Pelodiscus sinensis: one gene and its partners. The protein of the gene in region 1 interacts with the protein of each later gene in a pairwise test. Links are inferred from orthologs where the notes say so. Each region holds a gene or a part of one and is shown on either strand. Other genes may lie near its edges. The genes, in order: FHL2, NIBAN1, NRF1 and ITGA7.

Evidence for each region.
Region 2: the proteins of FHL2 (region 1) and NIBAN1 interact in binary tests that used the Homo sapiens proteins (3 or more experiments, as listed by UniProt). The two-hybrid records come from large-scale screens. The link is inferred for Pelodiscus sinensis from reciprocal best matches to the Homo sapiens genes FHL2 and NIBAN1.
Region 3: the proteins of FHL2 (region 1) and NRF1 interact in binary tests that used the Homo sapiens proteins (3 or more experiments, as listed by UniProt). The two-hybrid records come from large-scale screens. The link is inferred for Pelodiscus sinensis from reciprocal best matches to the Homo sapiens genes FHL2 and NRF1.
Region 4: the proteins of FHL2 (region 1) and ITGA7 interact in a two-hybrid assay, tested with the Homo sapiens proteins (2 studies listed by BioGRID and IntAct). The link is inferred for Pelodiscus sinensis from reciprocal best matches to the Homo sapiens genes FHL2 and ITGA7.

The regions. Positions count from the first base shown.
Region 1 is NC_134711.1:233,435,993-233,443,852, reverse strand, and holds the start of FHL2 (four and a half LIM domains protein 2), read left to right. Parts: upstream 1-4,536; 5' UTR 4,537-4,605; coding exon 4,606-4,644; intron 4,645-5,128; coding exon 5,129-5,305; intron 5,306-7,860. UniProt on the Homo sapiens protein: May function as a molecular transmitter linking various signaling pathways to transcriptional regulation. Negatively regulates the transcriptional repressor E4F1 and may function in cell growth.
Region 2 is NC_134719.1:55,875,923-55,884,132, forward strand, and holds the start of NIBAN1 (protein Niban 1), read left to right. Parts: upstream 1-4,779; 5' UTR 4,780-5,021; coding exon 5,022-5,076; intron 5,077-8,210. UniProt on the Homo sapiens protein: Regulates phosphorylation of a number of proteins involved in translation regulation including EIF2A, EIF4EBP1 and RPS6KB1. May be involved in the endoplasmic reticulum stress response.
Region 3 is NC_134711.1:4,287,162-4,294,675, reverse strand, and holds the start of NRF1 (nuclear respiratory factor 1), read left to right. Parts: upstream 1-4,145; 5' UTR 4,146-4,303; intron 4,304-7,514. UniProt on the Homo sapiens protein: Transcription factor that activates the expression of the EIF2S1 (EIF2-alpha) gene. Links the transcriptional modulation of key metabolic genes to cellular growth and development.
Region 4 is NC_134729.1:4,582,882-4,590,617, forward strand, and holds the start of ITGA7 (integrin alpha-7), read left to right. Parts: upstream 1-4,203; 5' UTR 4,204-4,244; coding exon 4,245-4,414; intron 4,415-7,736. UniProt on the Homo sapiens protein: Integrin alpha-7/beta-1 is the primary laminin receptor on skeletal myoblasts and adult myofibers.

The DNA of each region.
Region 1 (7,860 bases):
TGGAGGCTTCATTGTGTTAGGCACTGAATGCACACAAAAAAGACAGTTCCTGGCCCAAAGAGCTTATACGCTATCCATGTTACCAGACAGGAAAAAGGAGTATTAGATGAAGAATAAAGCAATCTGGTTACGTCTAGAGTGCAGCACTTTTCCGGGATACCAGAGGTATCCCAGAAAAACAATACTGTGTCCACGGAATGCATCCGCTTTTCTGAATTTTTTTTTTCAAAAAAGCGGATGCTCTCTTTCGCCATCCCTGTAAACCTCATTCTATGAGGCATAAGGAATGTGTTGAAAGATCAGGTCCTTCCGAAATTTGGTGCCATATAGATTTGCCAAATTTTGGAAAAGCCTCTTTTGAAAGAAAATCAGGAAAAAATACACAATTTTCAGTACACAAATTGCATATCTTTTTCCGATTTAACTCTGCAGTCTAAATGTAAGCGGGGGAATGATCCCGCTATTGTGGGGAACTTTCCTGGCTTCTATACACCCCGGTGAAATGAACCAGCAAAAGGATCTGAGTCCCCGCTCCCACTTCCTTTACCCCATGGCTCCCTGATCCTGAGGGCTCCCCCTCCACTCTCCTGAGTAGCAGAGCCCTTGAAACCCCAACAAGGCTGGGCCCAGGTTTCCTGGGGCTTAATCCCTGACCTTGTAGTCACTAGGGGCAGGAGTTAGGGTGTCCCCACTCCGAGGTGCTCTCTTTACACTGCAGGCCTTCTTGGCCCAGTGATCACTTCATAAGGTTCAAAGCAAATACAATTTATTAAACAACAACTGGTTAAAGAGAAAAGAATAAGAAAAAAATGAGAATGGTTAAATGAGAACACACAGCCCTGCTCTGTAGCACAGGGACATCAAAACAGCAGCCTGCAGAGTGTAAGGACAGTCCACAGTCTCTTCCTTAGAGGCCTTGGATGTGCTGCGGGGGGGGAGGGGCTGCAGGCTGGACACGCTTGCTCTGGCAGTGACCACACAGCCTCAAGCTCTAAGTGGCCAGACCCCTCTCCCAGTCCAGAGCCTCTCCCCACACTTTGCAGTTCCCAGCTGCTCACCACATCCAGCTGCAGGCTGTGCTGTGTGGCCAGTCTCTAGCTTCTTGCATTGCTTCTCTGTTCCTTTTGGCTCTCTGAGCACTGCCAGTCTGCTGCTCAACACAGGGTCTGCGCTCTTTGAGCTGTGTGTGTCTGGCTCAGCTGCTGCAAAAACTGCCCCTCAGCACACAGCTTGCACTGCTTGGGCTGTCTCTCAGCTCTCTGTTCCTTTTGCAGGACTTCTTCTGCACACAGCTTGCTTTGCTTGGGCTGTCTCTCAGCTCCCTGTTTTTGCAGGACTTCTTCACACAGCTTGTACTCCTATTTCAGCTCTCTGTCTTTGTAGGACCTCTTCTGCACACAGCTTATTTGTTCAGAGAGAGAGCCAGAACAATCCCAGCTCACAGGGAGGACGGGGCCTGGCCTCTCCCCTTCCTCACTGGCCTATCCAACCTGTCAATCAGGCTGAGCTGGAGTGTTGGCTGCTTTCCATTGTCTCTGGGGTCTGTCAGCCTCCTGAACCCTTCCCCCTCTGAAAGTGGGAGCTGGCAAACCAAAAAACTCCCACAGAGTTTTAGTAAGGGGTAACAGTCCCCTTACATAAACATAGCCTCTGATTAGTTTACTAATACCTGCACAAGGAAATTAGTTCCAAATAACCACATTGGTCGAGGGTGTGAAAAAATCTGTGCTGCTGAGTGATGAAGTTAAACGGTCCTAATCCTTGGTCTAGCTAATGTCTCTTGGGGAAAATCCCTTCCCACTGCAGTGTTTTAAGTGTAGACAAGCTGTAAGTATCAATATCATTCACGCATTCTCTAGGCCCCGTCCCAGCTTAATGCCAGTGAACAGGACAGGTACCTGTTGAGTTGTGTGAATCTTTCATAAATCTAAAACAAAATGATGTATTTTTCCATTCTCACATCTCATTGGATAGTCCTTGTTATGATGATATGTGATCATGCTTATGGCATAAGCATTATCAATATGGGAAAAGTTAGAAAAGTGTTATTCCTACAGTACAAAACTTGGGTCATCTGATTAAATTAATAGGCAGCAGGTTTAATACAAACAAGAGAATGTACTTTTTCACTCAATGCACAATTAAATCCTTCTCACAGGATGCTGTGATCGGCCAGAAGTGTAAATGGGTTCAAAAAGAGAATCTAATATGTCCTGGAGGATAAGTTACTCAAGACAATTGCTATTGGTCAAGATGGTCAGGAATGCAAACCCGAACTTGGGATGGCCCTAAATCTCTGAGGGTACATATACACAGCAGGGCAAAACTTGAATTAAGCAATGCAATTTCATCTATATCAATTACATAGCTGAAGTTAAAATAGCTTAATTCAAATTTTGGCACTTTCTACACAGAGGAAGTTGAAAGAAGAACACTATTCCTCTGACTTCTCTTATTTCTCATGAAATGAGGGTTACAGGAGTCGGAGTAAGAAGTCCTCCAGCTCACCATTATTTCAAAATAATGGCTTGCAGTGTAAATGCACACTATGTTATTTTGGAATAATGTCTGTTATTCCGAAATAATGGTTCTACATAGACACACCCTGAAGGTCAGAATATAATAATGGGTCACTCCAACTTCCCTGTTCTCTACATCCTCCCCAAAGCTCTGGGACCAGCCATGGTCAGAGACAGGATACTGAGCTAGGTGGACTATTGGTCTGACCCACTATTGTCTGACCCTTGTGACCTTACTTTTTGTTTCTTTCTCCTGGGAGAAGAGACTGTGAGTGTGTCCAGAGTATTATAGAATAGAGATGGAATCCATTCAACTCCCCAAATCTAAACATTCCTGAACTTTTGGGAAGTTTTGGTCTTGATCCCAACTTCATGAGTGAGTCCTGTCTGAACCAAAACTTTAGCTCTGAACTTATGAGTCCCAAACATTGGGAGATTTTGCAATTATCTTCCTTCTCTTTAAAGCAAGGGACTGTGGGCTTGAGAACCTCAGTTGAATACTGCTACAGATAAGAAAGATGGACACTTTTGTTATTAGGACCCAAGCCATTTAAATCTTCATTTGGGAAACCAACTGGAAAACAGCACAGAATATGGTGCACAGGTGTAATGCAGTCCACATGAGAAACTACTTCATAGGCAGGCAGTTACATTCGGCAGTAATTTTGAATGGTTTTAAGGTGTAGTTGCAAGCATGGGGGGTTGGTGCTGCTGGGGCTGAGGGAGGCAAGCCTGCAGCCCCTCCTACAACCCCACCCCCTCTGCTGTGGAGCAGCATGCTGAAAGCACCCCCTCCCCCAGGAAAGGAAAGAGGGAGAAGGGGGCATGTGCACACGCCCAAGCCTCCCCAGCCCCTGGAACACTGGGGGAGGGAGGAGGCCATGTGGTGTGGTTCCTGCCACCCTGGTCCCCAGAATACCAGGGTAGGGAGGAGGACACATGGCAAGGTGTCTGGAGCACCGGGGGAGAGAGGAGGTCACATGGTGCAGGGCTTTGATTTGCTTTGGGAGTCTCCTTGGCCCTCCAGTGACAACACAACTCTTCCCTCTCTTAGTGTACCTTAACTTCTTTGCTCTCATAGTATTGGAGTGTCCTTCTCTTATAGCTTAATATATTAATTAGCCAAGGTCACTAACATATGTCAGTTGAATTACTATGGTTATCTGTGGTTAGGCATCTGCTAATATGTCCTCCAAAAATGTTCTAAAGATGATAGGTACAAACTTCTTGCAACATTTGTGATTGTTAGAAGACTATACACAGAGTCTTATGCCATCTTGTGACTTAAGATCATTGTTAGTTTTCTAACTTATAATAGCTTACTATTGATCAATTATCCTTAGGCAGGCTGAAAGGACTCACGCTAACTGCTTAAGTTATCCTTATCGATCTAGGCCTACAAGTCTTGCACCTGTGCTGTCAATTCCTTACCTCTCTATCTTATGATTACTGCTATAATTACTGTACAGCTACTGGAGAATAACTGAATCCCCAGGTTGCAGCCTGCTCAGCATTCCCAGAACTATAGACAGTTGTGCTGGCTGCACCCCACACGTAAAAGCTAGTTTCAAATCTGAATGAGATAATCCAAAAAATGGCTTGAAAACTCTTCAGCGCAAGAAATGCTCAACTCTGTCAGTGGATGAAATGGCTCACTTAACCAGGTTGTTCACCAAGCAAGACCATTCTGCTGAATCAAACTTTGCCGGCATTAGGAAGAAAATTTCCCATGGGCAAATTATTTAATTACTGTCCATTATGAGGATGCTTGCACCTTCCTGTGAGGCATCTGATACTAGACTCTGTCAAAGACAGAGTGCAGGAGTACAAAGACCAGCTGCTCTGATGCAGCATAGTTATTGCTGTGTTCCTAATTTCCCTTCACATGAGGATTTAATTAAATAATAAAAAGTGTTGAAATTACTTGCCATTAAATTAAGTAAATGTGTGGTACAATGCAATAACACTAAACGGGATATATATCATCTTGTTTCTTTCAATGGAGTTAAAGGTAACCTTACTATATTTTAGAAATGTGCGTCTGTCGGTCTGTCCGTCCATTTGTGAGTTCATTTGTTCAAGAACAATGGGACGCGTCTGGAATTTGATTATTTCTCATAAAATGGTAAGTGAGAAGTCTGATAGAAGGGACAGTTATACTGTAGAATGACCACAGGGGGGCAGCAAGGAGCCAGAAATGGGGACTGGGGTAGCTATAACCCCACTGGGCCAGCAAGGGGTAGGAGTGGAGAAAGGGATAGCCAACTACTATATATTTCAGAGAGTTTGTCTGTTTATGTGTCTGTCTGTGTGTTTGTCCCCCAGCTGGAGGACATGCACCACTCCCCAAGCTGTGCCAACTGCAACTGCAGCAGCCATGATCAGACACTTTTCACCTGGCCTCAAGCTACTACTTTGAGAAAGGGCTGGGGTTGTCCTCTCTCCCCAGGGCAGCCTGAATACTGAACCTCTTATCCTCAGCCCCACCCCAGAACAATGATTAAAATTAAGAAAAACAAAACTTACTTGAGTTAAGGACCAGAGCAATGCCAGGTAAATCTTCTAGTAAGTCATAAATCTGAACCTGCTTGTTTTCTTCTTCATGACAGATCAAGAGTCTAGACACCAAAATGACTGAACGCTTTGACTGTCACTACTGCAAGGAGTCCTTGTTTGGCAAGAAGTACATCCTGCGAGAAGAGAGTCCCTACTGCGTGAAGTGTTATGAAAGTCTTTACTCCAACACCTGTGAGGAATGCAAAAAACCAATTGGCTGTGATTGCAAGGTACTTTGGACTTGCATTTCATTGACATCACATCTGTCAAAACAGATAGGATAGGTCCATTCCCCACACGGGATCACTACAACACTACAGGAGAAAAGGGATCTGGGTGGAAGAGATCTGTTTCATAACATCTTATCATAGAATCATAGAATCATAGAATAATAGGACTGGAAGGGACCTCGAGAGGTCATCGAGTCCAGCCCCCCGCCCTCAAGGCAGGATCAAGCTCCGTCTACACCATCCCTGACAGATGTCTATCTAACCTGTTCTTAAATATCTCCAGAGAGGGAGATTCCACCACCTCCCTTGGCAATTTATTCCAATTTATTAATTAGGTAATTAAGAACCTGACCTTCCACTGTGCTAAGCACCTCCTTGGAGAACCATGGGAACTGAAGATGCTCAACATTTTCCAGGAAGTGCTTTGATCCAGATTCCCAAGAATATTCATTAATTTTGAGTGCCTCACTTGATCATGGTTTGCCTCATTTTTCCAAGGTGCTGTGTAATCACAGTTCCTATTGACTTAGTGGTTTAGATGCTCAACACTAATGAACACAAGCTTTCTATGGTTCTAATGTTGGGCACCCAAAGAGTGAAATACCAAAAATTATAGGGTCGCTTTTGAGAACTTGGGAGTTAACCTCTCTGCCTCAGTCTCTCCTGGGGTTAAAAGAGGCATACTAATAATTACCTGTTTTACACAGCTAGTGTTCGGATGATTTGAATGCAAGTGAAGTGCTTCAGCTGAAAACTGGAGAGTACTTTTTACCATCTAGAAGAAACTTAAAATATCAGCCTTGTATTTGATAGGCTAAAAAATGTTAATGAGTTTCTTTCTGAATGATACATATTGATATTTTAACTGTTCATTTAACAGTAAAAATATTACTCAAGTAACACTAGGCAGAAGCTATGAAAGAGACAACATGCATGTCCCATACACTCTTGCAGCAGAAAATGTCCATAGAACTAACTTAACTGGCTACCCAGGAATTCCCCTGTAGCAGGGTGGACTCACGATTGACAGATCTCTTTGCAACTGAGTGTGATGTAGCAGCTGTTTCCTCCCCAGTCCCCTCTTGCAACAGTCACTATGATGCTGTGGCAGTCTGCCTTGTCTGGTGACTCAGCACTCCAGCCAGGTCTCATTTTAGTCCTAGCCCCTTCTGAGGTACCAAAAGTTCAATAAATAATTCCAAGGCCAAGTCTCTGGGCCCTGACCCTGGGCCTGATGCTCCTTACATCTTTCAAATCGGGATTGTGAATCATCCCTATTCTCTTCTGTCAGGGGAGCTTTACATCACTTTTCCAAGGCCAGTAGGAGAACCCAAGATCAGCCTCTGCCTGGCTTCCAGTCCAGGGATCCTAGAATCAACAACTAAGGTCTGCTTTGCCAGACATCTCATCACAGCCTCCTGCAATTCCATTCTACTATTAGCCTTTCCTCAGGCCTTTCCCTCTGCCATTTCCCAGGCCCTTTCCCTCTGCCATTTCCCAGGCCCTTCAGTTCCTGCCCTTGTGCTGGGGTCTTACCCTAGTACTGTGCCTTCACATCATCTTCCCGGCCTGGACTTCCTGCTTCCACAAGTCTCTCTACGCTATAGTGATAGCAAAGCTCTGTCTTATCTCTCTCTCTCTGCAGTTCCAGACTTCCAGCACTCCATTGCTTCTTCCCAATTTTATCTTTTATTATGCCTTACCTGCCCTCCAGGTACAGCCAGAGGAGTTAACTGACCTCTCAGACACACGCTAATGCTTTCACCACATGTGTGGGATACAGACTCCCATCACATCAGGCCTCTATGTGCGTGGGGGGAGTGTGCCAAAGGTGTGAAGGAAGAATGAGGGGCTCTGTTGGGACAGTGGGTCCAGAGCTCAAGCTCAGCCACCCTCCTTCCCCCCATAGCAGGGATACTGCGCTGGTACTCCAGCCTCGCCCTCCCTCCCCCAACCCCACACTAGATTGGAGCACCAGTGTCAGCTTCCCATGGGGGGGGGGGAAGGGGAGGAGGGAAGAAAGCCCTGAGCTTCGCTGCATGATCCAGCTCATGGGGAAGAAGCACTTCTGCTCCCCCTCACCTCGGTGGGGGAACAGCAGTGAGTGGGCGTGCTGCTTGGAGGGTTTTACCACTGCTCCCATTGGCTAGAATCTGACCAATGGGAGCAGCAGGAGGCAGTGCCTGGGAGCGGCACGGAGCATGAAGGCAAGTAATTGCCCCCCACCCCCTCATGCCCAGACTCTCACACCCCAACCTCCTAATGCATTGAGACAATTGGGCCAAGGGCCAAAAAGTGTGAGAAACAATGTGTTAGGGGGATGGGAGAGTGCTGTGTTGTGGGGGGTTGGGTGGGCGGGGCTGGTGGCAGCACCGCAGGGCTGGGGGAACGGTGGCCCCCACCAACAAGGAGTGGCCCAGCCCCAGCCCCACTGGCTGGAAGCCCCTCCCATGCTCACCTGGCACTGGCCTCGCAGAGCAGATAGAGCAGCAGCAGGCAGAGGAGGCCAACGGAGCGAGGGGCCATGGCAGCCGTACTGTCTGCCAGGATCCCAG
Region 2 (8,210 bases), on another chromosome or scaffold:
TCCCGGGCTTCATTAGCAAGTTCGGTATGCATACATTACCCCCCTAGTTCGAACTAGGGGGGTAGTGTAGACATACCCTAAGTTATTCCTCCTGGGCTCTAAATGGAGATAGCATGTCTACATTAGGGAAGTATGCCTCAGACTAATTTTGCGGCTTCCCTGAAGTGTAGATGTACTATTTCAAAATAAGCTATTTTGGAATAACTATTCCAGAATAGCTTATTCTGAAAGAAATGTGCAGTGTAGACATAGCCTATGTGTGCAGAAGGAGGGATCCTGCCGGGGGGAGTCCATGATTCCACCAGGTGACTGTAATTTGTGTTAATGGCTTTTTTCCTCTGTGAATTAATGATGTAAACCTTCACTTTAACAGAATACCAATAACAAAATAGTCAAAAGTGGTAGAGAGAAGTGAGATCGATGAAGATTCTGCTTTCCTAGCCTTTGTCTCTATTTGTTTCAATGTTGGTTCCTTTTTTTTCTTTTTCTCTTTTAAGCATGGTTCTAGTTGCATTGTATATATGCTAAATGACAACTCTCCGACAGCTCTGAGTTCTCTGTACTAAGTGAAGGCCTCACACCATAATGTACCCAGGAATTTAAGGACATCATTAAATCTTCCCCCAAAAAACTCCAAGAGAAACACTACACCCTCATTCCCCTGAATCCACCAGGAGACTTTCTACATGCTTCCCAAGATATACACAAACAGGCAAGCCCATCATATTTGACCATGACACTCTTACTAAAGGAACAAGAAGATACAAAAAATCACCCTGAAATCACTCAACACGAAGGCCTAGCTTCGGCCAGGAGAAGGGTTGGTTTCCTCCAGAAACTCTGCAACATTAACAACCTCCAGAGTAAATATGTGGGGGGACATGAAGGGTCATTCATTATCCCCAATTCCATGGGTGAGCCCAACTGCTGCCAGAGCTCGGCTCCCTATAGGCCCCCACATTGCTCCGGAAAAGGGATTTGTGGGAAAGATGGAGGGGGAGTGGGAAGGGGCAAGAAGAAGGAGGGCCTGTGTTGGGGTGGTGCAGGGAGGAGTCACTTGGGGGGTGGTAATGTGACTAGTGCCCCCCTTTGGTCCCTCACCAGAAGCCACCACTGACAGTCTCCTTTGGAACATCATCCTTGCCACAATGGATGTCACCTTCCTTATACCCCAACATCCCTCACCATGATATACACCCCAAACACATCACCAGCTCATCCATTTCACCCTTATACATAACAATTTTACATTCAATAGCAAACGCTGTGCAAACCACAGGAACAGCTGTGGGTACTGGGATGGCTCTTCAGTATGCCAATCTCTTCATGGGCCACCATGAGGAATTATTTCTGGACAATTGTACCACAAAACTAATGGGCATGCCTGAGACAGAGCAATGGTATTTTCATCTTTTGAACAGGCAACCTGAACTCCTTCACAGATTTCTGCCAAAATGTCAGCTACTCCTACCTATCTATGAAATTCTTTCTAGAATTTTCTGACACTATGATCAGCTTCAACAATGGAATCCTAGAGACAGCTATGTACACAAGAAACTCACTCCTACCTTCACAGATCCAGTACCTACTAGAGCTGTCAAGTGACCTGCGTTAACGCCTGCAATTAACGCAGGACAGGATTAACGTGTTAACTTTAAAAACTCGTTAATCACAGGCGTTAATGTTGCGCTGCCTCTTTTAAGTACTGCTCCAACACTTCAAAGGGCAGTGCAAGCAGAGCTGGGTATCAGCTGGGGACTCTTCAAAGCAGAGCTGGGTATCAGCTGGAGCAGCACTTCAAAGGGACTTTGCAACAGTGGAGCCGGGGATCAGCTGGAGTCCCCAGCTGATCCCAGGCTCCTAACGTGCTGCCCCTTGGAAATGCCGCCGCGGCACTTCCAAGTGGCAGTGCTGCATAGAGTCCGGGATCAGCCGGGGACTTCAGCTGATACTGGGCTCCATAGATCGCTGCCCCATTGAAACGCCACGGCAGCATTTCAAAGAGGAGGCACACGATTAATCACGCGATTAATTGCAATTAAATTTTGTAATTGCTTGACAGCCCTAGTAACTACCATAAAGGTACCAAGAAATCTGTTTTCTATAGCCATAGAATAAGTTTCAATGAGAAAGTTCAGGATACATACCTTAACACACTGAACACCACCTTCATCAACCAAGGACCCTGCACCCAAATGTACTCAGAAAACCTGGTTCAACATAGAAATAAAAATGTGTTGGAATGCACAATCCTAATTGTCACCTACTTCCACATGGTGGAACCTTTATGGGGTATCATTAAATAATTACAATGCATACTCAATGGGGACTTCATCCTGAAAGAAAACTTTCCTGATCTCTTCTTCTGGCCTTCAAACAACTCTTGAAACTCATCATCAAAAGCAAACTCCCCACAGACCAAAGCAAAGCAGCATCCCACAACAAGAGATGTAACAAATTGCTCTACCTGATATTTATGCAGATTATGCAAGGAGTGAGAGCTATCTCAGACTTTTGAATTCATTGTCCCCTGGACTGAAGTAGTCCAAATTTGTTGCCATTTAGGACATATTACATAGTGAATCTTCAGAAAAGCATTTTCACACTGGACTAATCTAAATTAATTAAGATTAACCCCTTCCAAAAGCACTTGGATGGAAGGTACTATTTTCTGAGCAATAAAGATAGAACAGGCATTTATCTTAGAATAAAATAATTCATGCAAATTGCATGGTTTATCTCTTTCGTTTCAGATGTGTCTATGGGCTTTGGAGATAAATTTGACATTACAGGACATGCAACACTATATTAAGGCCACATTCTGCACTGATGCTACCTGAAACACCTTAAAGTTGCAAGACAATGCATATTGTAACTCTTTTGTTTATTTTCTAATCAGACACCTCAGTGGATGTGAAATGATCACATTACTGCAACTACCACATTGCTACAATTTAAAACCTTGTGAATAGAGCTTAACAAATAAAGATGTTAAAGGCCACTAATTATATTATGCCTCTAGAGAGCTGTCGATTTGAGTCTCAGTTAAGATATCCAAATACTTATGAGAGCCAGTCTTTATTAAGGCACTACATGCATCCAGTCTCCTTGCTAGAACAGTTAAACAATTGCCCAATTTCTATATATAACTGGCATACACCAATGAGGGACAGCTTAATACTGTGAATTAATATAGATTGACTGCATTAGGTAAGTTTTATTTGTATGCTTGCCAAAGGTTGTTTAGCACAATGCTGATTATTGCATAAAAATGTTGTATCTTTTTAGCTGTTTCAAATGGCATCATGCTGATTATTGATTTAAAAACTTTTCTTCTTGGATGTGAAATTTCTTAACTTGCTGTTGACTGATGAAGTAGCAAAATATTAAATGATTGAGGTATCAAATGCATTAATACAATCAGTGAAGGGAATACAAGCAGGATTAATGTGTTCAAACAAATTTGGAGCAAGTGATCAATGTAAAATGGTTGAAACAAATGTATTCACATGCCCAAAATACACAGTTTTCTGTTACCGGAAATGTGTAATACATAAGTAGCTTCTGTTCAATGCAGCTCAATTTCATAATAAAATTTATACTCTATACACAGTATTAAGTTGTTTTTAAATTCTAACAATCTATAGTGGCATGCTGCTGATCCCATTCAATTAACTTTCATTGTTAAAAAAACCCCAAAGAAAATGGGGGGAAACATTAGAAAACCACAAACAGTTGAGCAAAGTTGCATTAAAATAATTTTTAGATAGAAGCATGGAAATTCTTTGAATGAAGTTTGCTGTTGCACCAGTTTTGCATTTCTTTGACTTCTGTTGCAAACACATGATCCTTTATCTATAGCAGTAGTTTTCAGCTTTTTCATTTGAAAATGGCTACAAATGTCAAGTGGAGGTTCGGGCCCCTTTGGAAATCTTACACATAGTCTGAGGGTCACAGGGGTCTGTAGACCACAGTTGAAAACCACACATTGAAACGTATTTGTTTAGTCCTATCCCTTGAAGATATAATAGTTTTTGTGGTGACAACAATGACCTTACTTTTGTAGTATACAGTGTTGTATCTATATTTGTCCCAGGATATTCAACAGACAAGGTAGGTGAGGTAATATCCTTTACTTGACCAACTTCTAGATATTACCTCACTGCCTTGTTTCTTGCTTTTGTAACACTATCCTAACAGGGATACAGTCACAATTCAAGCCACTTGGCTTAAATTGTGCTGTGCAAATCCCAGTGAGGATTGTGCATTTAATTGCCGCGGATAGGATTGCTGAAAGAGGGGTTTCCCATTTAGGGCTTTGAAACTAAGGATCAAGTTCTTAACCTTAGTGCAATATTGGTACTGATGTCGGATAATTAAACACTTGGATTCCATAACATGCCACCACACTGGCAGGGGGAGGACCTGCCCTTGAAGTAAGGTCATGGTGCGTTTCCCTCGCTCTCTCTCTCTCTCTCTGGAACCTGCAGGTGTATGTATGTGTGGGGCGGGGGGGGGGGGTTTACCCTGAGATACCGCCTGGCTGGGGGAACAAGTTGTATCCGAATGACCCTGAATCATCAGGCAGCAGCTTGGCTTGGCGCAAGCGGGACTCGCCCAGTGACACCTTGGTGCGCTCCCTTGTGTGGCAGCAGGTGTGTCCGTGTCTGGGGAGGGGCGCACAACTGCGTGTGCTCGCGGGGGGCTACCAGCGGGCTAACCCACCCCTGCTAACCCACCCGCAGGGGACAGTGGCGCTGAGCGGTGACAGCCCCAGGCGGGGAAGCAGTGGAGCCTGAAGGGGCAGCAAGAAACGCCAGGGAAAGGGAGGAGCCGGCCGAGGGGACCGAGGGCGCAGCCCCGGGGGCGAGCAGCGCTCCCCGCCCAGCCCGCTGGAGCTGAGGCGGCGCCTGTTGGAGGAAGTTTACGCGCCGAGCAGAGACAACCCCTCCCTGCGGCGAAGCGGGCAGCCTGGCTGAACTGATCAGCTCCTCCCGGCCGGCCGCCTTCTCTGCAGCGCCATGGGCGCCTCCGCCTCCAGCCTGCTGGACGAGAGCAAATGCAGCTACATCCGAGGTACGCGCGGGGCGGCTGCTGCGCTCGCCGGGAGCCAGGGGCGGGCAGCGGCCACCACCACGTTTGCATGTGGCGGGGGGAGGCACCGGCTGCTTGGGGGGAAGGATGCGGCGCAAACCGCGAAGGCAGCGGGCAGACTGGACGGCTGCGGTGGGCAGGAGACAGTGAGGCTCTCGGGTGACGAGCCCAGGCGAGCTCTGCTGTGCCAGGGGCTCGGGCCGCCACGCGTGCCGAGAGCAGATGGAGGCTTTTCAGTTTTAGGGGTAACCCAAGAAAGCCAGGCCCCTCTGCCACGTACATTGGCCATACTGGCCTGCGTCGAGGCAGAAGAGTACATGGAAGCACATCTGACAAATGGCAGCTTCCACAAACCGGCGGGGAAGCGCTTCAGCCGCCCCGGGCACACGGTGCCAGACGGGAGTGTTGCTACACTTGAGCCAAACGCCCTCAAAACTAGACTGCAGCGTGAAACTGCAGGGTTGAAAGTCAGATGCAAACTTGGCTGGGTCTGACTGGAGACGAAGAATGGCTGGCTTGCTATAAAAAGTAATTTCTGCCTTTTAGTATTTCCGCCTTTTTATCCACTGTTGAGTGGGCCACAGCCACCCTGATTGAGTTGGCTTCCTTGGCACTGGCCCTCTCCAGAGTAATGTAACACTCCCCTTGCTGTATATCCCCGCCAAACTGAAGTTTCCACTTCACACACCTGACAGAGGGGACTCCGGCTGGTGAAAGCTTATCACTAAATACATTTGTTAGTCCTTAAGATGCCACAGGACTCCTCGTTTTTTCTTGAAACAGACTAACAGGGCTACCCCGCTGAAACTTGTCGCCAAAAAAATAGGCAGTTGAGACTGGATGATTATCAATCATACTTTGAAAGTATGTGGACAATACTATTTTGCCATTGCTGAAAATGCCTTCCATACTACTTGGGGGCCCATTAAAGTTGTGGGACTTTGGCAAAGCATTTAGGAAGGGGGCTAAAATAGCCCCTTGCAAAGTCCTTTGAAGTAAAAAAACATTTCCTCTAGGTTTTGGATTAGATAACAAATCCTTTTAGGATTATCTACCAGTAAGGGGTTTTGTCATTGTATGCCTTGTAATGTGGGATGCCTTACTGACACCAGTAGCTAGCCTACAAGCATAAGAGGCTCAACTCTGCCTTCCACCAACCTGGTTACTCCTTGCAGGATGACTTCAGCAATCCCTTTGGGTATTGAGTTCCTACAGATCAGTTTCCCTGAGTTCTTAATGCCCAGACATTCAGACATTCCCACTTAGGCATTTGAAGGAATTAAACATTTCCCCACCTGTCAGTTAACTTTAGCAAGCACTCTTCTCATCATTTGCACAATAGAGGTCAGTGTGGGGGTAAAAATACATAAAAGGTGTGTTTATTAGAGAAATCATAGAATCAAACAGTAAAGAAAAGCAAACACTGACAAGTTACACAGAAAATAAACATAAAGGCTTTACTCTTCTATGGTATCTAAATTTCCCTTTCGCCTTTCAGAGTATGGTAGCTCATGTTAAACAGAACAAGTGTCCTGAGTTTTCAATTTCAATGTCTTTCCATTAACTTTAGTGGTCTATCATTGTCTTCCCTTGTGTTGTTCCGTAGTAAGTTGTTGGAATTTAGTGTCATGGAAGCAGCTAGTCTGTGAGATGCTTCTGGCCCTGACTCCTTCTCCACACTAGAGTGATGCAGTTGTACCTGAGTTACGAGGAGTGTTCAACACATAGGGCTAGTTTACACTAGAAGCACTACATTGGAACTCTGTGCTGACAGGAGAGATCTCTCCCATCAGCATATTAAAGAGGCACTAGCTATGTTGGTGGGAGAAGGTCTCCTACTGACATAGCATTTGTTCACACCTGTGGTTAGGTTGGTGTAAATTGTGTTGCTGAGAGGTGTGCCTTATTCACACCCCTGAATAATATATGTTCTACTGAAGTAAGTGGCAGCATAGACCTGGCCATATATGCAAGCATATATTCATAGCCGTAATCTGTGTACGTCTCTCCTAATGGCCATCAAGTTCAGAACATTACAAGCTTTTATTGTAAAAGACCTTACTTGATGCATATTTATACACAACAATGTTGTATACAACTCAGTGACCTATTTCCCTGTGCAGAATATAGCACCCTATTCAAGAGAGTTCAAAGGCAATCAATCAGAACTATGCAGTACAAACCTTCAAATTAACATTAAGTTGACTGAGCCCACTAAAAAGAAATACAGCATAGTTGGATTCTTTTTATCTTCTTATTTTTAAGGCTTCAGGGTTTGCCTGGAAAGGGTTGCCACACACCCTATATACGTGGAAAGAGGTCACACACTCTCCCCTACACAGCTCTTACATCGGGGTGAGGGGAGGCGGAGCGACTGACTGACCTGATCCTCCGTGCCTGGTGCTCTCAAACGTCCATGCCTGGCTGGGCCCCAGGGACAAACTAGCCTCTCTTGGCTCCTGACTCCACAGTTTCCTGAAGCAATGTGTGTGTGGGACCACAAAGGGTCACATGCCCACTGATTTCACACCAGAATGTGGCCAGAAGCAGCCTTCTCGCACCGTGCAGGAGGGAAAGGAAAGGAGCTGCTTTCAGCTGCAGGGGAAGAGGAGGGAGAGAACGATGGATGAGGAGGGAGACAAGAATGGCCTGGCCCGTGTCTTTGCGGTGCTCATCTCTTCTCTCCCTTCACCTCCAACATTGGAAGAAGCTTGTCCCTTCCTACCCACACAGTGTCAAAAAGCAGCTAACACCTCCTGGTTGCTGCTGGCCACCTACATAACCCAGCTGCCTCCTGTCCCCTGGTGACAGCCTGGGCAGGAAGGGGTTAAGCCCTAAGAATGCCTTTTGCAGCAGGGCCTGGGGAACCTGATTGTAGGGGCTTCAGCAAACCTGGCCAGAAAGGTGGCTCAGCAAAGGATGGTTCCTAGAGGACGGAGCAGCTCAGTGCTTCTTGGGGGCAGGAGGTGCCAAGAGAGACTGCCAGTGCTGACCAGAAACAAGATAAGGGGCTGGGTCCTGCTGGCCGAGAGTTAGCATGCAGCAGGGGCTGCGCTGAGGGACCGGCAGGGAGCAGCCCGTCATGTATGCTCCATATTCCCCTCCACTGCCAGCTT
Region 3 (7,514 bases), about 230 Mb from region 1:
AAGATCTTGAAGTCACTATGGATAATTTTCTGATTAAATAAATAGGCAGCAGGTTTAAAACAAACAAAAGAAAGTACTTTTTCACACAAGTCACAGACAGCTTGTGGAACTCATTGCCAAGGAAGGTTGTGAAGGCAAGCACTATAAATGGATTTTTAAAAAAATAGATAAATTCATGGAAGATAGGTCCATCAGTGACTATTACCCAAAATGATCAGGGATGCAAATCAATGCTCTGGGTGTCCTTGAACCTCTGACACTGAGACAGGACAACAGGGGATGGCTCACTTGATGCTTGGCCTGTTCTGCTCCTTTCCTTTGAAGTATCTAGCACTAGCCACTATTGGAAGACATGATTCTGGGCTAGATGGAGCATTGGTCTCAGTATGGCCATTCTTAAATTCATATGCTAAAATATAGGTAAGTATTTACTCCTTTAGGGGAAGAAGCATTTACACTGGAGTGAATTGTTTTGGTAAAGTTCTAAATGTAGGATTTAAAAAAAAAATCAGATCTACACATTGATATGTATTTGTTAGAAAAAGCAAGGTCAAAGAAATGCCTGTTGGCCTCAGGGAGGCAGTTAGTGAGGTTTGTGATACTCCATAGATATTTACGGAGTTTATTCCACAGTCTCAGACTGGCTCCTCAGAAAGTTTTTTCCTGCACAGGTGAGCTTACCCTTATTGTTGAAAGTTTCAGTGTACCCAAAGGAGCACAAATGTCTATCACAGCCTTCTCCAGAGCATTAGGTAGTATTTTTGATTTCCTGCACACAGGGCATGCAGTGCCTTGGAGATAAGGACTGAGAACTTGCATCAGCTTCATTCCTTGCTAGCATGGCATAGCCCTTTCCAACATGGCATTCAATGGCCCCATCCTCCCGGTAAGGCCTTAGCTTTCATAATGTGCTTATATTAGGGATGTTAAAATGTGTTTAAGTAATCATGTAACTGCTGAAAATGTCAGTGGTTACATACAAGCTGGTGTGTGCATGGAGCTGACTTTTAAGTTGGTACCCTGTGCATAGTGGCTCTACCTCCTTCCCTCCCTTCCCTCCAGTGCATGCCAGAAATTTCCTTACACTCCCTCCCCCATGGGGGTGTATACCGCTCCTGAATTTCCCCAACACCCCCCCAGTTTTGTGAACTATGATGCCATACATCTCACCTTCACCCTCACGGTGTCACCCCTCATCAGCTCTGACACCCCCCTTGTAAATTTGAACACCCCCCCCCCCCAATTTCAATTCCTGGGGCGACTACTGCTGATGTGCTGCGGGATGAGCTGGCTTTTAAGCCTGCTCCCTGCATATACCAGGAGCTTGCGGGTATCACTTTCACATCCCTAGCTTTCATGTGCCTGATGGTAGTTTTCTCATTTCAAGATCCTTTGGTTCCATCCTTCCCACCATAGCACCCATTGGCCCATCTTCTTCCCTGCTGGGCCTTGCCTGTCCCACCCTAGCACCCACTGGCCCATGCCCCTGCCTCAGAGAAACCATACAGGAGAGAGTTCAGAAGACTGGAAAAGGGCAAATATAGTGCCCATCTATAAAAAGGGAAACAAGAACAACCCAGGAAACTACAGACCAGTTAGTTTAATTTCTGTGCCAGGGAAGATAATGGAGCAAGTAATGAAGGAAATCATCTGCAAACACTTGGAAGGTGGTAAGGTGATAGGGAACACCCAGCATGGATTTGTAAAGAACAAATCATGTCAAACCAATCTGATAGCTTTCTTTGATAGGATAACAAGTCTTGAGGATAAGGGAGAAGCGGTGGATGTGGTATACCGAGACTTTAGTAAGGCATTTGATACGGTGTCGCATGATATTTTTATCAATAAACAAGGCAAATACAACTTAGATGGGGCTACTATAAGTGGGGGTACATAACTGGCTGGATAACCATACTCAGAGGCTACGTCTACACTGGCACCCTTTTCCGGAAATGCTTAAAACGGAACAGTTTTCCGTTATAAGTATTTCCGGAAAAAGTGCGTCTACATTGGCAGGATGCTTTTCCGGAAAAGCACTTTTTCCGGAAAAGCGTCTGTGGCCAATGTAGACGCGCTTTTCTGGAAAAAAGCCCCCATTGTCATTTTCGCGATTGGGGCTTTTTTGCGGAAAAGACTACTGTGCTGTCTACACTGGCCCTTTTCCGGAATAGTTTTTCTTGAAAAGGACTTTTTCCCGAACGGAAGCAGCATAGTCTTTCCGGAAAAACACTGACAATTTTACAGTAGATCGTCATTGCTTTTCCGGAAAAGCAAGCGGCCAGTGTAGACAGCTGGCAAGTGGGGTTCTGCAGGGGTCTATTTTGGGACCAGCACTGTTCAATATCTTCATTAACGATTTAGATATTGGCATAGAAAGTACGCTTAAGTTTGCAGATGATACAAAGCTGGGAGGGGTTGCGACTGCTTTGGAGGATAGGGTCATAATTCAAAATGATCTGGACAAATTGGAGAAATGGTCTGAGGTAAACAGGATGAAGTTTAATAAAGACAAATGCAAAGTGCTCCACTTAGGAAGGAACAATCAGTTTCACACATACAGAATGGGAAGCGACTGTCTAGGAAGGAGTACTGCAGAAAGGTATCTAGGGGTCATAGTGGACCACAAGTTAAATATGAGTCAACAGTTGCAAAACTGTTGCAAAAAAAGCAAACATGATTCTGGGATGCATTAACAGGTGTGTTGTGAGCAAGACACGAGAAGTCATTCTTCCGCTCTACTTTGCGCTGGTTAGGCCTCAGTTGGAGTATTTTGTCCAGTTCTGGGCACCGCATTTCAAGAAAGATGTGGAGAAATTGGAGAGAGTCCAGAGAAGAGCAACAAGAATGATGAAAGATCTAGAGAACATGAGCTGTGAAGGAAGGCTGAAAGAATTGGGTTTGTTTAGTTTAGAAAAGAGAAGACTGGGAGGGGACATGATAGCAGTTTTCAGGTATCTAAAAGGGTGTCACAAGGAGGAGGGAGAAAACTTGTTCATCTTGGCCTCTGAGGATAGAACAAGAAGCAATGGGCTTAAACTGCAGCAAGGGAGGTTTAGGTTGGACATCTGGAAAAGGTTCCTAACTGTCAGGGTGGTCAAACACTGGAATAAATTGCCCAGGGAGGTTGTGGAATCCCCATCTCTGGAGATATTTAAGAGCAGGTTAGATAAATGTCTATCAGGGATGGTCTAGACAGTATTTGGTCGGGCCATGAGGGCAGGGGACTGGACTCGATGACCTCTCGAGGTCCCTTCCAATCCTAGTGTTCTATGATTCTGTGAAATACTGCATAGCTCCCGTCCACCCCAACACGCCATGGGCTCTGCCCTCCCCTCACAGTACCCCATGGGCCGTGCCCCCTCCCCCGTCACAGCACCCCACGTGCCCTGCCCCCCCCCACAGCACCCCACGGGCCCTGCCCCCCCCCTGGTCACAGCACCCCACGGGCCCTGCCCCCCCCCGGTCACAGCACCCCACGCGCCCTGCCCCCCCCCCTGGTCACAGCACCCCACGGGCCCTGCCCCCCCCCGGTCACAGCACCCCACGCGCCCTGCCCCCCCCCCTGGTCACAGCACCCCACGGGCCCTGCCCCCCCCCGGTCACAGCACCCCACGCGCCCTGCCCCCCCTCAACACCCCACGGGCCTTGCCCCTCACAGCACCCCACGGGCCCTGCCCCCCCCGTCACAGCACCCCACGGGCCCTGCCCCTCCTCACAGCACCCCACGGGCTCTGCCCCCCCCCTCACAGCACCCCACGGGCCCTACCCCCCCCTCACAGCACCCCACGGGCCCTGCCCCCCCCTCACAGCACCCCACGGGCCCTGCCCCGTCTCCCCGTGAGGCTGGAGCCGAAGCGCGCTCTCTACTGACTTCCGCGGTTCTGTGTGACTCCCACAGGACCGAGCTCCCCTTATCAACGCGGGGGCTTGACCTGCCCAAGATGGCGACCTCCCCCCTCCCCTTTTATCAGCCCCTCCGACCTTCCCAACATGGCGCCCGGCGCCCCCCGAATCGCCCCTTTCGCGGCAGGCTCCCCCCGTCCGACCTCCCCAACATGGCGCGGGGCGGCGCCCCCCCCCTCCCGATGCGGCGCGGTGCCCTCCTCATCATGGCGGCGGCGCCAGCCCGTGACGTCACGCGCCCTCTCCTCGGCCTCCTGCTGCTGCTGGTGCCCGCCTCTCGCTCGCTCGCCATTGCGGCGGCTCAGGGCGAGCCGCGCCGTGTCCCCGCTCGGCTCCCTCCCCGGCCGCCGCCTGGCAGAGGCTCCACGGCGCAGGCCCGCTGCAGCGCAGCCGCTCTGAGGTGAGTGTCCTACCGCGCAATCTCCCAGCTCCTCCAGCCCCGGCGCAGCCGCAGCAACGCGGGGCCCCCGCCGGCTGCCCAGGCACCCCGCTCCGGAGCCCGCGCCGCCGGCCCGGCCTCCCCCGGCCCGGCCCAACTCCCAGCTCGGGGCCGCGCAGGCCGCGCTAGGCCCGGGCCGGGGTGGGCTGAGGGGCGGCGGGGGCGGGATCCTGCCCCCGAGCGGGGTGCGGCGGGGGGGCGAGGGGAGGGGGGTCGCTCGCTCTCCGGGGCGGCCCCGGCCCAGGATCCCCGCCTGGCCCCCCCTTCTCGCCAGGCCGCCCCCCTTGGGAGCAGGGCCCCTCCCTGCGGCCCCTTCTAACGGGGGGGGGGGGCTGCTCGCTCTCCACATTGGGGAGCGGGATCCCTGCCTGGCCCCTCACCCCTAGACCCCCCCCCTCTATCCAGGGCTGATCTGTCACCCCAGAGGGGAGCGGGATCCCTGCCTGGCCCCTCACCCCTAGACCCCCCCCCTCTATCCAGGGCTGATCTGTCACCCCAGAGGGGAGCAGGATCCCTGCCTGACCCCTCACCCCTAGCCCCCCCCCCTTCTATCCAGGGCTGATCTGTCACCCCAGAGGGGAGCGGGATCCCTGCCTGGCCCCTCACCCCTAGCCCCCCCCCCTTCTATCCAGGGCTGATCTGTCACCCCAGAGGGGAGCGGGATCCCTGCCTGGCCCCTCACCCCTAGACCCCCCCCTCTATCCAGGGCTGATCTGTCACCCCAGAGGGGAGCGGGATCCCTGCCTGACCCCTCACCCCTAGACCCCCCCCCTCTATCCAGGGCTGATCTGTCACCCCAGAGGGGAGCGGGATCCCTGCCTGGCCCCTCACCCCTAGACCCCCCCCTCTATCCAGGGCTGATCTGTCACCCCAGAGGGGAGCGGGATCCCTGCCTGGCCCCTCACCCCTAGACCCCCCCTTCTATCCAGGGCTGATCTGTCACCCCAGAGGGGAGCGGGATCCCTGCCTGGCCCCTCACCCCTAGACCCCCCCTTCTATCCAGGGCTGATCTGTCACCCCAAAGGGGAGCAGGATCCCTGCCTGGCCCCTCACCCCTAGACCCCCCCCTTCTATCCAGGGCTGATCTGTCACCCCAAAGGGGAGCAGGATCCCTGCCTGGCCCCTCACCCCTAGACCCCCCCTTCTATCCAGGGCTGATCTGTCACCCCAAAGGGGAGCGGGATCCCTGCCTGGCCCCTCACCCCTAGACCCCCCCTTCTATCCAGGGCTGATCTGTCACCCCAAAGGGGAGCAGGATCCCTGCCTGGCCCCCCCTTCTCGCCAGGCCGCCCCCCTTGGGAGCAGGGCCCCTCCCTGCGGCCCCTTCTAACGGGGGGGGGGGGGCTGCTCGCTCTCCACATTGGGGAGCGGGATCCCTGCCTGGCCCCTCACCCCTAGACCCCCCCCTCTATCCAGGGCTGATCTGTCACCCCAGAGGGGAGCGGGATCCCTGCCTGGCCCCTCACCCCTAGACCCCCCCTTCTATCCAGGGCTGATCTGTCACCCCAGAGGGGAGCGGGATCCCTGCCTGGCCCCTCACCCCTAGACCCCCCCCCTCTATCCAGGGCTGATCTGTCACCCCAGAGGGGAGCGGGATCCCTGCCTGGCCCCTCACCCCTAGACCCCCCCCCCCTCTATCCAGGGCTGATCTGTCACCCCAGAGGGGAGCAGGATCCCTGCCTGGCCCCTCACCCCTAGACCCCCCCTTCTATCCAGGGCTGATCTGTCACCCCAGAGGGGAGCAGGATCCCTGGCTGACACCCCTCACCCCTTGACTGCCCCCTTCTATCCAAGGGAGGGAAAGGGGCTGATCTGTCACCCCAGAGGGGAGCAGGATCCCTGGCTGGCCCCTCACCCCTTGACTGCCCCCTTCTATCCAGGTGGGGGAAAGGGGCTGATCTGTCACCCCAGAGGGGAGCAGGATCCCTGGCTGACACCCCTCACCCCTAGATTCTCCCCTTCTATCCAGGGGGAAAGGGGCTGATCTGTCACCCCAGAGGGGAGCAGGATCCCTGGCTGACACCCCTCAGCCCTAGATTCCCCGCTTCTATCCAGGGGGGGAAAGGGGCTGATCTGACACCCCAGAGGGAGCAGGATCCCTGCCTGACACTCCTCCCTTTCTACCCATAGCGAAAGGGGCTGCTCAGCCTTCCCTCCGGGAAACAGATTCCTCACCTGACTCCCCCTTCCATCCAGAGATGGGGAAAGGGGCTGTTCTGTCACCTCTCTGGGGAGCAGATGCCTTGCCTGATCCCTTCTCTCCTGTCCGGGGATGGGGAAGAGGGCTGCTCCGCTACTCCTCTGGGGAGCAGGATTCTCGCCTGGCCCCCCAGTTCAGGGTTGGGGAAAGGAAAAAGGGTTGGAAAATGACCACCCCCCTGCCAGTCCAGGGAGAGGGCTGGAAGATGTCTCATCTCTGCTCTCCAGGGGGAAGCGTGTTTTCCCAGATCACCACTCTTAATGTAGGGGAAGTGGGAAAGAGTGCACCTGAAGGGACTTATTCTCTCTTTTCAGAAGTGAGCTTGGTTGCTGGCATTAGAGGGCAAAGGCGGGATTTGTATCCCTGCCCGCTAACCACTGCTGTTCATTTCAGATGACATCTGAAAGTATCTTCCCTTTTCCCCCTATCTTGAACAAATTCTGCCGTTCTTTAGAAGTGAATCATGGGGACAGGTCTGGGCTCTCACTCCTTCCCTTTCCAAGGAATGGAGAGAGGATGGGTGGCATCAGAGGCAGCCAAAAACAAAAGCATGTATTGCATGAGCTGCCAGTGTGGGTGTGTGACAGGAGGCAAGATCCCTGTTGCACTCAGGAAGAGCGTAATACAGTGGCCCTTACACATCAGGGTGTGTTTACCTTTTGCAGATCCCTCCCTCCATGGCTATCTTTTTGCTCCTCTGAATGGGTTGTGTTGCGGATAGGTCTAGTCCCACCTTTGGAAATTAGAAAGGTGGTTCAAGGTACTCAGGTTTTCTTTTTGTAAAGAGGATGCGTATGCATATTTTGTGCAAACAGCTTGTTTCAAAGCTATTCTGTATGATTTGTGAGACAAAATACGGTCTAAATGTTTTGTTGATCATTCAACCAGAATTTTCTTGTATAATGTATTCAAAGGTGGATTTAGGTCTTTAGTTACAAGACAAGAGTATTAGGCTCAAAAGACTTCATTCAT
Region 4 (7,736 bases), on another chromosome or scaffold:
TCTCGCAGGAGGGTCGGAGGTGGTAGCCGGGCTGGCATGTGAATGCTCAGCAGGGGGAGTCTGAGTCCGCCCCTCCCTGAGATGACAGGGGCCGTGCACACTCCTGTGAGCTATGGGGCCAGGCTCTTTGCAGACACAGGCAGGGGCAGCTGTCTGGCTCATGCCCAGGGCACATCGTGAGGGTTCCTTGGCCGCTGTAACTGCAGCTAGATGTGAAAGTGGAGACTGGAGGCGAGCCGGCTGCTGCAAGGAGGTGCCAGGCGGGTATATGGGCATGGACCAGCTGGTTCTGGGCCATGTCATGTTACCATCTGGCCTCCTCCTCTACACTCCCGCTTCTTCCCTTTTCTCTGCCATCTGGTGAAGGATGCTCCCTGGGGGGGCTGAAGGACTTCGCCCTGGCCAGAGTTAATGGAGAAGGGTTGGTTCTGCTGCTTTCAGGAACTGGAAGGCTGCTTGGGAGCGGTTCCCTCTCTGGGTGGGTCCATCTGTAGAGGCCAAGGCCCATAACCCCCTGTTCTCAGCTCTGCTCCCAGCCCTCTGGCTCCAGCAATTTTCCCCACCCACAGAGATTCCTCTTGCTCTGGCCTCGCTTTTTTGCCAGCTCCACCCACGGCCCCCAAAGCCCTCAGGGGACTTTTCTGGCTCTGAAACTGAGGCCGGGGCTTCGTGCTGCCCTAGAGGCCCAGCAGTAGCTCTGGGAGCCAGAGCCAGCCAGCTCATCTCTCCTCCCCGTCACGTGGTCTCTTGGCTTGGCTGAGCTGGAAGGGGCTCTCAGAAGCTGGTGGGAACTGAGGTTTCAAATCCAACTGAGTCTTTTCAAGACGGGATGTTCCCCTTACACTCACCCTCCCAAGCTGCTGCTCCCCCCCTCCTCATTTTTCACACTCTGATCTTGGTCAGCGAGAGAGGCGGTGTTGGGTGAGTTGCAGGAGGTGCGCCCTTGAACACTGAATGTGGAGTTGGCACCTGTGTGAAAACAGAACACACACTCCCAGTCACTGCTAAGGTGATCACAAAAACAAGCAAAGTGATTCCAGAGAATACACACACACACACACACACACACACACACACACACTTCTAGTGCTCTCTCAGCTGCAGACCACCCGCCATTTACATAACACCGTCCACTAACTAAGCAAACGCCATGCAAAGCCAGCGGCTGAGGCTCAGCTGGCCATGCCCTTGCACAGAGCAACTGGCATGTGGCTGCTCTGTCCCAGGGATGCAGTTTAGGACAGGAAGTGAAGCGGGATCTCGGATTCAGGTGGAGAGGCTGACGGATGCTGCGAGGTGTTCTCCCAGCAGGCTGGGCCTTCTACCCTACAGCCCAGAGGTTTGGCTGGGGGTGAGTAACAAACTGCCCAGGGATGGGGCGGCTCTGCCAGGCTTGTGCCTTTGCAGCCAGGCTGGGTGCCTTTTTGGGAGACGTTTGACCTGACAGGGGTTGCTGGGCACAGGAAGTGGGGGGTCACTCTCTGGATTGTGACTCAGGAGGACAGGCTACATGATCTGTGAAGGGGCTGTTGGCTGGCCAACGCTGTGACAGAAATCCAGGTGTTGATCTCCTTGGGTGCCGCCCACCACGGTCAGAATTGTTCTCAAGGCCCCAGCTCCAAGAGTCCTGCGATGACCTAAAACCTCCAGCCTTCACTGCAAAAGCAAAGGCAGGTTCTAGCCTCTGTGGGTGCAGAGAGAAGTGACACCGCTGGCCCGAGAGAGATCCAAAAGCAGCGCCCCCGATCGTTGTTTTTCAACATTTTAAGCCAGCCTCCTGATCTTGGGACCCTTGCGGACTTCGGAAACCTGGGCTGGGCAGGGGTGAACGTAGCCGGCCCAGGGCAGTTCTACCAACCGCTGCGCGTCCCTGCAGAAGAGCCACGGAAGCAAGAGAGGCCAAGAGCAGCTTGCTTCACTCACCCGGCTCTGGGCCCCACTGAGGCTCCAGTAGACAGATTGCCGAGTGGCCCCCTCTCCACTGAGGACATCCCAAGGCTCAGTTTCATTTACACCAGCTGTTCCTCTCCTGTCCCAAGCCCCATTGCTTCCGAGACTCTCTGTACCCACCTTGCCTGCATGACAGCAGCCTCCTCCCACCGGGCCAGGTGGAAAGATGCTGCTGAAAGAGCGGGGTGGGAAGGGGTGGGGGATTTCTGGGGTCTGATCTCAGCTCTTAGGTCTGGCACAGAATGTTTGGGGTGGCAGGGCCGATGTGCAGGGGGACAGAGGCGAAAGCCCTAGGCGCCCTTGGGACAGTGGATGGAACTGGGTCCATTCCCAGGTGGCCCTTCAGAGAAGGAATCATCCATTCCCAGTGCCAGCCAGGCTATCCAAGGGGAAAGCACTGGGGAGGGAAAAGCTCCGAGGGCCTGTTTGCCATCAGGCAGATGGTCCCACAACCCGGCTCTGCAAGGGGCAGGGTCACCCCATCTGTCCCCCACTGCCTTGGGGGCAGAATGCAGGAAAACCAAAGTGAACCGACCAGGGGCAGGAAGGTCGAGAGTCACCTGACTGTTGCGCGGCTGCATCCGGCATCCGGGCTGCAGCCCGTTCACGTGGATGCAGCAGCCCTGCCAACTCGCAAATCTCTTGTGAAGCCCTTGGTGAGCGGGAGCGGTTTAAAAATAGCTGGTGTGCTGGAAAATGTGACGCCCCCACGCTCCCGTTTGGGGCCAGGCCCGCGATCCACAGGCGGCCGTTCACTCTCATTTGCAGCCATCCTGCCCCAACAGCAGCACCGCGTGCCATTCCTCCCTGGGCCGGGAAACCTAGCAGGGGCTCACTCTGGCCCACTTTTGCAAGCTCCCTGCAGCCCAAGCTATGCAGCAGAGCATGGGCCAGCGTGCTGGCAAGCTGGCTGCTAAGGACTGCTAGTTTCCAGTTCCCTTTTCCCAGCCTTTCCCCGCAGGGGGCGCTGGAGGGCGAGGGGCAGGAGCACTGGCTGAGGTTACATGTCCCAGCCTCTTCCAGTAGGGGGCGCTGGAGGGCGAGGGGCAGGAGCACTGGCTGAGGTTACACCTCGCAGCCTCTTCCAGCAGGGGGCGCTGGAGGGCGAAGGGCAGGAGCGCAGGCTGAGGTTACAAGTCCCAGCCTTTCCCCGCAGGGGGCGCTGGAGGGCGAGGGGCAGGAGCGCAGGCTGAGGTTACACGTCCCAACCTCTTCCAGCAGGGGGCGCTGGAGGGCGAGGGGGCAGGAGCACTGGCTGAGGTTACACCTCGCAGCCTCTTCCAGCAGGGGGCGCTGGAGGGCGAGGGGGCAGGAGCACTGGCTGAGGTTACACGTCCCAGCCTCTTCCAGCAGGGGGCGCTGGAGGGCGAGGGACAGGAGCACTGGCTGAGGTTACACGTCCCAGCCTCTTCCAGCAGGGGGCGCTGGAGGGCGAGGGGGCAGGAGCACTGGCTGAGGTTACACCTCGCAGCCTCTTCCAGCAGGGGGCGCTGGAGGGCGAGGGGGCAGGAGCGCTGGCTAAGGTGACAATAGCCCAGCTCCAGCCACTCTCGGTAGGGGGCGCTCTAGGAGTTGAGGGAGGCCGGGGGCGGTAGCCCCAGCAGGAGGCGCTGTGGGGAATAATGCAGGGAGCTGGTTGCGGGGAGTTCCCATCCATGGGCCGCCAGAGGAGAGAGGGTCTCTTACAGCTGCAGTGGCGGGTATATCGCATGTCACCCCAGCGCACCCCCAAAAGTGCCTGGCGCTGGGGTGACATATGTTGTTTAACTGGGAGCAGCAGCCCGGCACCGAAGGATGCTCGTTCGAGCACGGGAGCGAGGGGCTCAGGAGGCTGCCTCGGGTCTCCCCCGAGCGGAAAAAGTTCCTGGGTGAATCCAGTGTCCTGAGCTCCCGCCTGGCCAGGGCGTGAGGCACCGTGGGACTCTGCCCTCGTGCAGCCCGGTGTCCTGGCCGGCTTCCACCGGAGACCTGGCGCCTCTTTCGCAGCCTGCCCGGCCGCCCCGCCCCAGCAGGCAGCTGCCGACTCCCCCCAGAGGTGGCTGCATTTCAGCGCCGGCCAGAGGCTGCTTCCCCCTGCAAAGCACGTGCACGGGAGGGGGCGGCGCCCTAGGCAGTGGCCGGGTCCGGGGGCCGCTGCCAGAACAACCAGTTTCTCACGCTCCCCGTGCCGGGTTCGGGGCCAGCACCTGCCCTGCTCCGTGCGGCCGGCGGGGAAGGGGCGTGTCCGGCGGCCGGGCCCGGTCCCCTGTTAGCGCGCGGAAGAGCGGAGCTGTGGAGGCTGTTCTGCCGGCAGGATGCGGGGAGCGCTGGGCGCCGGGCTCTGCTGCCTCGGCCTGCAGCTCCTGACGGGCGCCGCCTTCAACCTGGACGGGACCCACACGCTGCTCAAGGACGGGCCCGGGGGCAGCTTGTTCGGCTTCTCTGTGGCGCTGCACCGGCAGCTCCGGCCCGAGCCCGCCAGCTGGTGAGCGCCGAGCCGGGGACCCCGCTCCCCCAGCCTTCCCGTGGGGCGGGGGACGAAGAGCCGGGAGGTCCCGTGGGGAGGGGGGGTGTCAAGTCTCGGGGTCCGCAGCGGCGCGGGAGGCGGGTTCTGCACCCTTCGCCGGGCCGGGAGGGGAGGGGAGAGGAGAATCTGTAAAACAACCCCCCCCCCCCCGTTACTCCGAGCAAGTTTCAGGGGGTGGGTAGCAGCTCGGCCCCCCCCCCCCTCCCTTGGCTCTAAATAACTGCGCAGGGTAGCAGGGTGGGGGGTATTCTCCTCTCGCCGATCCCCGCGGTGTGTGTGTGTGGGGGGGGGGGCAGGGTCACATCTGTTACCCCTTCCGCCTGCCTCGCCCTGCGCCCCTCGCCCCGCTGGGAACTTCCCCGACCCGCCGAGGCGAGGCAGGTTCCTTCTCGCCTGACCCCTGGATTCTCTCGGGTCTCCTGTGCGGGTCCAGATGCAGCTTCCAGTGGGGAGCGCTGACCGCCCCCCCCCAACATCTGTCCAGAGACAGTGCGGAGGTCTCCCCTCTCCCATGGAATCTGCCCCAGGGCGGATCCGAGTCTAAGAGCCAAGCACTTGTGAACAGCCACAGCCCGGACTCCTGGGTTCTTTTCCTGAGTCCCTGGGTGGCTTCGGGATGTACCTGTCAGCTCCGGAGCTTTTCCCTGGGCACGATTTTGGCACCGATTTGCGACTTCTCTGGGACCCTAAAAGCAGCAGCTCTGTCCCCTCGGGGGAGGGGCACATTTGAAGGCAGCTCTGAGTTGTACAGGGACACCGGGGGCCTGATCTGCCCCCAGCTGCACTCCAGGCTCCTGACAGAGCCATATCCTCTGTCCCCCACCCTACGGGTGCCCCAGCGGCCAGAGGGGGGTGCTGTCTGGAGCAGCCAAGGCTCCTCACCGATGGGAGCAGATGCCCAGCTCTCTGTGGCTTGGGCTGGGGAGCTTGTCTCACAGCAGCTCCTTCCTCTTCCCCCTTCGCTGGGGGGCGGGTGTGCAGACCTGCTGGTGGGAGAACGTGTGTGAGTGGGGGGGGGGGGGAAGAGTGCTGAGCTGTATAATAATCCCCCACCCCTGCCTCTCAGCAGAGCTCCCCGCACAAGACAGTGTCACTGTCCCCATAGTGCAGGCAGGGAAACTGAGGCATGAGGTGGGGCAGGGACTTGCCTAAGGTCGCTCTGTGGCAGAGCCGGTCCCAGTGCTGTGCTCCTGCCATGAGGCCCCTGCTGCCTTCATGTACGTGTAGTGAGGTCGGCAGTCGTGTGCCAGGGCGGGTGATGCCACATGTGGCCAGGGTGTCACTGAGGGTTCGGTGGATGGTGGCTTTTTCAGCACTTTGTGATCCTCAGCTCAGCAGTCCCACTCTGGCTGTGTCTGCCCGGCACGGCTGGGCTCTCTTTGGGGGCAGGGATGGGGCTCCCTGGGGCAAGGGATGCTGGCAGCTCCCAGCTGGCCCAGTGTGAGCCCTGCTGCTGGCTGGGCTGAGCTAGGGCTGCAAAGGGTTAAATAAAGCTCTGATGAATATTAATGAGGCTGTGGGCGCAGCTCAGAATCATTAATGAGCCATTTAGGTGAGGGGCCCAGACACTAGAAGCCATCAGGGCTCAAATCCCTGCATCCCCTCCTTGCCTCCTCCAGTGGTAAATTATTCAGCAGGGACGGGAGCTGAGCCAGGAGAGGAAATCGATAGTGCGGACCCCAGGCTGGCTGGAGCCATGGGGGTGAGAGGCTGAGATCCCCCACGGCCTGCCCCAGCAGCAGCAGTATCAGTCCCATGCCTGCTCCGTGGGAGGTGGGCATATGGTGCTTCTCTGGGCGTGTGTGGCCTGGGACGGCACTACCTCTGGGCTGGGGTGCATTTAGTGCCTAGAGCAACAGCGCAAGGTGGGGGGGAAAAATGCAGATGAGGCTTGTGATCTTATCATGCTCCCCCCCAGGACTCTTCAGTGCCCCCCAACGAGGGAGGGGGTGAACTGGGGGCTCCTCGCAGCTGCTTGAGGCCAGGCGAGTCATGGCTGGCATTGCTGGTGCCCCCTGCTGAAGGTAACGCAGGGCTGGCGTGGGCGCAGCTGCAGCCCGGGAAATGTGCTCTCCCTTGGCACGCCCCCGGTGTGATCTTTGCTGGCTCCCGCCTTCTGGCCTGTCACAGTTGCTGCCAACGCTCACTTGGATTCTGGGTTGGCGGCTGGCTTCTCACAGCAGAGCCGACCCCAGCAGCTGGAACTCCGGGGGCAGCAGCTGCTGGGTCCCTGGCAGCGGGAGCCCCTCCTGGTACCCTGGTAGTGCCCAGCTGCTGGGAGCATCCTCTGAGAGCGCCCTCACTGGGTCCCTGTGCTGAGAGCCATCTGTCCCTGGGGGGGTCTGCTGCAGAGGTTGCTGCCCGGAGAAGATAAAAAAACTGTCTTGTAAAACAGAATCCCTTTGGCTTCAGCTAGAGCAAAGCCCGGTCTGGCTCAGTCCGTCTGGGTTGTGAACAGGTGCTGGGGGAGCGCTGATCTCACGCCCTGCCTGGCGCTGGACGGGTTCCCATATGCGACTGTCTGTTTCTTGCGGGGGAGCTTTGGTCACGTTCCTTGTTCTCCATGGCGAAGCCTGTCAGACGTTCCCGGAATTCCTCCCTGCGGGGGGATTTGCTCTGGCAGCTCGGAGCCACCCTGGCGTTCGCGCTGACGCACCACGGACAAAGCGCTGGGCCAGTGCAAACAGTGGCAGGGCTTTCGCACGCTTGTGGAGGCGGCTGGGGGCAGGGAAGGCGGCTGGGAGACGGAGCCATCCTGCCCTTGGCACGGGGGCCTTTCTGGGGTCCATCTGGCATGTTTCTCAGTCCTTTGGAACCATCAGCATTGGTTCTGTGCCTGGCGGCTTACGCAGCACAAAGGGAGTGTGGACGGTCGAGCGCTGGTCTGGGACCATCATGCAAACACGGGGGTGGCGTATATGGCTGCAGTGCTCAGGGGACCCCCTCCCCCACAGAGATCGGGGCCTCCCTCGTGCCAGATCCTGCCCCAGCTGAGTCCAAGACCTTCTGCGCTCTGAGGTGCTCACAAGCTAACTAGAGAAGACAGCCCAAAGGCAGGAGGGGAAACGGTCACGCCGAGGTGCTGGGGCTTGCCCAAGGTCAGCCAGCTGGTCAGTGGCAGAACTGGGAATAGAAAGGTTCTGCCCAGTTCTGGGCCCCAGTCTTGCTGCCGAAGGGTGTTAGCCATGTGTGGCTAGCAGCCCCGGGGAGAAGCAGGGACTGGCGTCAATTCCTGCGTCCATGAGGCCGCCTGGCCTTCAGGTTGCCAAGGCTGCCTGGC